Linked DNA regions of Sus scrofa. The protein of the gene in region 2 interacts with the protein of the main gene of each other region in a pairwise test. Links are inferred from orthologs where the notes say so. Each region holds a gene or a part of one and is shown on either strand. Other genes may lie near its edges.

What was found.
Region 1: the proteins of TOPBP1 (region 2) and KIAA1524 interact in a two-hybrid assay, tested with the Homo sapiens proteins (2 studies listed by BioGRID). The link is inferred for Sus scrofa from reciprocal best matches to the Homo sapiens genes TOPBP1 and CIP2A.

The regions. Positions count from the first base shown.
Region 1 is NC_010455.5:150,950,932-150,954,757, forward strand, and holds part of KIAA1524 (protein CIP2A), read left to right. Parts: intron 1-677; coding exon 678-796; intron 797-3,106; coding exon 3,107-3,302; intron 3,303-3,778; coding exon 3,779-3,826.
Region 2 is NC_010455.5:74,790,821-74,794,646, forward strand, and holds part of TOPBP1 (DNA topoisomerase 2-binding protein 1), read right to left. Parts: intron 2,666-3,826; coding exon 2,473-2,665; intron 484-2,472; coding exon 263-483; intron 1-262. UniProt on the Homo sapiens protein: Scaffold protein that acts as a key protein-protein adapter in DNA replication and DNA repair. Composed of multiple BRCT domains, which specifically recognize and bind phosphorylated proteins, bringing proteins together into functional combinations.

The DNA.
Region 1 (3,826 bases), about 76 Mb from region 2:
CTGTGGCATTAGATTATACTTGAGTATCTACAAGACACTTATCTTTGTAAAATGTTGATAATTTTAAAGGATTTATATTTTAATATTTTTCTGTTAACAACTTACTATAAAATTGAGTCAAACTGATATTATGTCAATAATTTTTTTTTTCAGAATAGATGATTTGGGCCTAAGTACTAATGTAAAATACTTACTGACATGAAGGAGTTATACTTTAAGTATAGTTGTTTCATTCACTACATTAAAATTTTTTATTGAATTAATTTGAATTTTACCTTTTTTTAACTTTAATTTGGAAATGACTAGCCATTTTTATAGCCCAATTTTCTTTTAAATGGTAGCTAGAAAAATAAAACAATAATTCAGAACATCAGTCAGTTGTGAATGCTGTTTAATCAAGTATTAAATATTAATTTAATCAAAAATATTTGACATGCATTTAGTAGGCACCAAAAGCATTCAAAAATCTTTGCCAGATTTTTTAAGCTAACATTAATATTGATTTTATAGATAATTGTAATGAAGTAAAGGCTAGTAAATATGTTCAAACATCAGGTAGAAAGACTTTAGAACTTGCCTAGAATTATGTAATGATTTAGATCTGTTTACTCACCTTACTCTAAAAGACCTAACATTATCCTTTCTGCTTTTTATTTTTTGGTTTCTGATTTGCTTAGGATCCTCGCCTGATTACTCCTTTGGCTTTTGCTTTAACATCAGATAATAGAGAACAAGTACAGTCTGGATTGGGAATATTATTGGAAGCTGCTCCACTGCCAGATTTTCCGGCCTTAGTGTGAGTTATAGTCAGTGGCAATGTATCTCTTGTGGTGCTGGAGTGTTTGCTGTGTTTCCCTAATAGTCTTCAGCAGAGAGAGATTGGAAAATCAGTGAATTGAAGACTTCATTGTAATAATAATTTTTCAAGTGAAAAAAAATTTCAATTTAAAAAGTTTGATTCCAACAACTCAAAAGACCACATGTAAAGTCTTTTAGGGAATAGCTAGATCCATCCAAGTGATTAAATATGTTATCCAGATGTTACACCTCTCTGTCTGAACACCTCTCTTATTGTTGTAGCTTCCAGACTAATCGTAATCCTGCCAGTTTAGTTTCTCCATAGAAAGTGCTTTTCTTTCCCAATTGTTTAAGTGATAAGTCTAGTGATAAGTCTAGCATCATTCCCATTGACCAGATCTGGGTCATTTGCCAAGGAAGGGATTCCTAAAGAAAATGTTCTTATTATCTGAAGGTGGAATAAATAATAGTCAAGCAGAATTGTCTGCTATACTCATTTTCAAACATTAAGAAAATATTTGCAGTTAGGTTTGAAAAAAATTCAGATTTGGAGCTCTCTGTAAACTGAAAGGTTGACAAAATGTCTAGTAGTGTTCCGCTCTAATTTTAATAAGATTAGGTGGTTTATATAAATGAAATTGCAAAGGTGGTTTGAATGAATTGAGACAGTTGGTAAGTCAGTAAGACATTTGTTCATGTCAGGTCAGCAAACTCTAGACAGCAGACAGGAGCTTGTTTTTGTAAATAAAATTTTATTGGAACAAAACCATACCCATTCATTTATTTTCTTTTTCTTTTTTTTGAAGGGAGTGTGAATGTGTTTTTTTAATGATTTTTATTTTCTCCATTATAGCTGGTTTACAGTGTTCTGGCAATTTCTACTGTACAGCAAAGTGACCCAGTCATACATATATATGTATTCTTTTTCTCACACTATCCCCATTTCATTTTGTCTGTATTGTGTATGTTTACATTCATGCTACAACATTAGGGCTGGTTAGTCGTAACAAAGACTATGGACCCTCAAGCCTAAAATACTTAACTGCCCTGTCCTTTAAGAAAAAGTTTGCCAATCTTTGCTACTTCTATTAACTGAGCAGACTCATTTAAGTAATCATAAATTAAGGGATGAAGAACTGTGGAAAACATGACCTAGAGACCATGAATTGCAATTCCCTTCATTTTATCATATTTTTTAACAAGCGAATGGACAAATAGTGTGTTTCTCAAAGCAAAATAGGAGTCTGTGAAGCTGTTTCATTTTGTGGTAGCTTGCTTGCATCTACTGTGGAAATCTGACATGAAGCAAAATCCCCAGGTGTCAGAGTGGAAAGCTTCAGCTTTGCTGAAGTGGGAGTCTTATCATGTGTCTCTCTGTCTTTGCCATCCCCTCCCCATCATAACTTGTGTTGTGTTATTTTCTCTTTGCACACTATCTCAGATATCCATTTATGTCTATTATGTCCATTTATGCCTCAGTTTATATTATCCTAGTTTAATAATGTGAATTTATATACTGGATGGGTGGGTAGGTAGGTGCATAGCTAGGTTTATTTTGGAGTTTGTTTTTTAAACATTTAACAAATGTTTAAATAACTGGTGAGTCCCAGCTATGTGCCAGGCTCTCTTCTAGGCATTTTGAATATTGCAGTAAATTAGACAGGCGGCCTTCTGTCATGAGATTTGCATTCTAGTTGAGAGACAGGTTTTTTAAAAAATAAGGTTTATAATGCACTTGTTACTAGGGTTGGAAGGCCCTGAGGAAGTGAATCTAAACTGAGACTTGATGATAAGGATTATGCTATGCAGATTTAGAGGGAAGAGTGTTCTAGGCAAATGAACAACTTGTACAAAGGCCCTGAGGCAGAAACAAGATGGTAAAAATGAAGGTCAGGTTGGTGAGACCATCCTGAGTGAGAAAAGAAAAGGGTGAAAGAAAAGGTCAGACCAAGTGATGTTGCCCATGGTAAGAAAGACACCAATAACTTTGTATTTAATTTTTTTATAAATAATCTACCCTCATAAACTAGTTCTAGTGCCTCCAAACCAGAGGTGGAATTGTCATTGTAAAGGGTTGTTAGTACAAAAGAGTTTCCTCTGGCAAATTTAGGATATTTCCCCAAATCCTGCTTCATCATAGATTCCAAGATTATTTCAGAAATATTTGAAGACTTATATTCCCAAAAAAGACCCATTCTAAATTATGGGTCCCATCATTAGTTAGTCCCTGTACTAACTCTGCCTTTTGCTCTATTTTTATATAATTATTTCTCTCTCTCTTTTTTTTTTGATTTTAATTCCAATTCAGACTTGGAGAAAGTATAGCAGCAAACAATGCCTATAGGCAACAGGAAACAGAACATATGCCCAGAAGAATGCCTTTGCAATCATTAAATCACAGTTTTCCAGCATCAGTAAAATGTTTAACTCCTCCAGTTTTGAAAGATAGAGTTCCTGGATTGAACATTGAGGAATTAATAGAGAAACTTCAGTCTGGAGTTGTGGTGAGTGATAGATAGCCATTATAAATGAGATTCTGCCTGGTACATACCAACTAAATATCAGCCCTTATTATAACATTTATTTAAATAAATTTAGATGCAGATTTGATCACTGAAACTTGATCTTTTAATATCAAAAGTAACAATATTCTGTAAAGTTTGAAAAGAGCAAAAAAATCTATCATAAAATTCCAACATTTTAACATAGCAATCCATCTTCCAAGCCTATGCTCCCACCACCATCGCATGGCCCCCAGCTTAAAAAATATACTTTCAAATTCCCACAGACATGTTAGATCTTACCCAAATCTTCTTGTGCAATAGCCAGGTTAGTGAGTGACCTACCTAATATGACATTCATTTTTTTTCTTTGTTACAAATTAAGTTTTAATGATTTAGTTACACAGTAGGCATTTATTTTTTGTTGTTGTTGAGTGTTAACTATTTCTGATTTTTTCCTGTATTGTGTTAAAACCCAGGTAAAGGATCAGATTAATGATGTGAGAATATCTGACATAATGGATGTG
Region 2 (3,826 bases):
CAAAAGGCACTGGAAAAATGGGGGGAAAAATGCCTAATCCTAGATTTCACAATATAAGAATCAAAATATATTTTTCAGTTTACTGATAAATTACCTCAATTTACAATTATTTTTCTGACTTTTTAAATTTAAACTCAAATCAGAAACATCTAGCGAGTTTTTTGTTTGCATGTACAATTCAGAGAACCACAAGGTGCTTATCTATTTTTAAGGAGTTAGCATTACCTAACACAAACAAATAAATAGACTCCTTTCTCATTACCCTGTGCAGCAATTTCTGAATCATGTAAAGGCTCCTGGAAAGGAGAATCCTCCAGTTTTTTAACGTCAACCTGAAGCTCAGAGTATTGTGTGGGACAGCTAGGCCACTGCAAATTGCTGGCAAGTCTTGCTCTCTCTTCCCTGGCTGTAGGGTCATCCCAAATGATCTGTTCATTTTGGGAGGGCTCAGTGTTGATATCAGGTACTGTTTGACGAGACTGCCTAAGGAATAAAAGTGAAAATTTAATAAACAGATAGCCATAACAAAATCCGCTCATAAATTCCCTAAGTTAGATTGTAAATTGGTAGCTCACCTTTATATGTCCATCATCTAACACACAGTAAACATTTGAAAATACTTATGAAACACATTATTTGGACTGAACATGCATACACTTAAAAGTGTTAAAGAAAGGTGAAAAAAATTCTAAAATGATTGCTGCATTTAAAAAAAGGATTTCTGGGAGTTGCCGTTGTGGCTCAGTGGTTAACGAATCCGACTAGGAACCATGAGGTTTCGGGTTCGATCCCTGCCCTCGCTCAGTGGGTTGGTAATCTGGCGTTGCCATGAGCTGTGGCATAGGTGGCAGACTCAGCTCAGATCACAGGTTGCTATGGTTCTGGTGTAGGCCGGCGGCTACAGCTCCAATTAGACCCCTGGCCTGGGAACCTCCACATGTCGAGGGTGCGGCCCTTAAAAAAAAGGCAAAAAAGACAAAAAAAAAAAAAAAGGGATTTCTCGGAGTTCCCATTGTGGCTCAGCGGTAACCAATCTGACTAGTATCCATGAGGATGTGGGTTCAATCCCTGGTCTTGCTCAGTGGGTAAAGGATCTGGTGTTGCTGTGAGCTGTGGTGTAGGTCACAGACGAGGCTCTGAGCTGGTGTGGCTGTGGCTGTGGTGTAGGCTGGCAGCTGTAGATCTGATTTGACCCCAAGCCTGGGAATTTCCATATGCCACGGGTGCAGCCCTAAAAAGCAAAAAGATTTCTCTTGATTATATAGCCTTGGGGAAACATGGTAATATTTAGAAACCTCATCACTTTACTTACCAGTTAATATTTGTATTCTTTTTTTGGCCATGCCTGAGGCATATGGATGTTCCCCAGTCAGGGATCAAACCTGTGCCATGGCAGTAATCAGAGCCATAGCAGTGATCCTTAACCCAATGGAACTCCCAGTAGTTGTATTTTTATCACTTGAAATAATTAAGAAATATAATTACATGGGAAGCACAGTGTTTATAGGCTGCCTTAAAAAAAAAACCACGTCCTTTTGGCTACTGGTAACCAAACCTCCCAGAACCTAAGGTAGACCAGCTATACAGTGGACTAGAGTGAAGTGTATTTTATGGTGTCACGTAACAATTCCACTGGAAAGGTGACAGAATTCCAACTATTTTCCCTCAATGTGTATATACTGAATATTCCCATGTATAAACATATATGGAATCTTAGAAAAATAATTCGCCAAAGCTGATGGCACTCCCAAAGAGTTCATTTGCCTCAAATACCAGGAAGATGGCTCTTTATTCTCAGAGTATATTTATTTATTCAGACTTGACAAAAAAATCTAGGCTCTCTCTGATAAAAAAGACCTGAAGTATATTAAACAGAGAACCATTTTTGCTGAGTACTCAGATAAAGAAATAGCCTCATGAAATACAAGTTAATGTAAGATAAATGCATAGTTCAGCTAATCAAGATATGAGTACCATAACACTCATCATACAATTAGAGATTTTTCTATCAAGGAAAAGATGAAAAAGATGAATTCATGTTATGGAACTTAAGTCACATCACACTAAGATCTGTAATCACCTTCCCTAGAAGATATGTTTATAAAGAAGATTTATAAAGACATTTACAAAGATGCATGTAGTTCCAATAAGAAATCACTGCTTAAATACATACATATATATGTACTTACTGTTAAAAATTAAAATTACTTAACTCCAAAACTAACAGGACTGTCCATTGAATCCAATTCAAACAAGACAAACTAGATCTTAAAATCACTTCTTTCTCAGAGGAGGTAATAAAATGCATTAATCATGCCTTATTGGAAGCAGGTGCTTGATATGGAACAAACCTCTGCTTCCTGTTCTCCAGTAAGAATGCTAGAACTGCTCGGAACAAGGGAAGGAAGGAGGAAAAGCTAGGAAGGCCAGGAGGAAAGAAAAGCTATTCTGCCATCAGTGACAGGTACGGACCTCAGTGCCTCTAGGACTCTACTTCGTCCGCTGCGGGCAGAGCGAGTGCTGTCAGGGGTTGAAGAGGCACTGTTACAACCACTTCTTGAAAGGGAATTCCTCTGCCCCTGGGGTTTCACTATTGAAGTTGCAGACATTATCTCCTGCAGCTGCTTTTGAAAGTTTTCTCTCATCTCCAAGGTCTGTGTCAGAGCTTGAAACAAACATAAGTACACCAATAAAGTTAAGTTTCTCCTTTTTTTAATCTACCCTATTCACAGTAATTATTTCATCTAGATTTGGTTGAACATAAATTTATTAACTTGACATTTACCAAATACTTACTACAGGCTACGGTAATATACTAAGACTATGAATCCTGCAGAACATAACAGCAGCCCTTACTGTGAGGACTGTATAGAAAGTAATCAGCAAGCCCTTTGCAAACACCTTGCTAAGATCTGCAGCCCTCACCCTTTTGTAGAGTTTCGTGCCTCCTTCTGACCCTTCAGGCTCTTAAGTCCGACAGTCACTTGTGATTGATGATTTTCCCCTATGATCCTTGAAAACACAGACCACAACGTATTTATCTTTGGTTTCATTGTAGACTAAACACTTAAGTAGGGGGGGTTCCCGTCGTGGCGCAGTGGTTAACAAATCCGACTAGGAACCATGAGGTTGAGGGTTTGATCCCTGGCCTTGCTCAGTACGTTAAGGATCTGGTGTTGCTGTGAGCTGTGGTGTAGGTCTCAGAAGCGGCTTGGATCTGGTGTTGCTGTGGCTCTGGCATCGGCCGGCGGCTACAGCTCCAATTCGACCCCTAGCCTGGGAACCTCCATATGCCGAGGGAGCAGCCCTAGAAAAGGCAGAAAGACAAAAAAAAAAAAAAAAAAAAGACAAAAAAAAAAAACAAAAAAAACACACACACACAAAAGTAGGTACTAAATATACACTTTTCTAATGGACAGAGTGGGACTAAGTAAACAGGTAAATCATAGACAGGAAAAGCTCTGGAAGAGTAGAATAAAGAAAACAGAGGAGTTCCCGTCGTGGCGCAGTGGTTAGCGAATCCAACTAGGAACCGTGAGGTTGCGGGTTCGGTCCCTGCCCTTGCTCAGTGGGTTAATGATCCGGCGTTGCCGTGAGCTGTGGTGTAGGTTGCAGACGCGGCTCGGATCCTGCGTTGCTGTGGCTCTGGTGTAGGCTGGTGGCTACAGCTCCGATTCGACTCCTAGCCTGGGAACCTCCATATGCCGCAGGAGCGGCCCAAGAAATAGCAACAACAACAACAACAAAAAGACAAAAAAAAAAAAAAAAAAAAAAAAAAGAAAACAGAAAATGTTAATCCATTAAAAAGAGGACATATGCTGCTGCA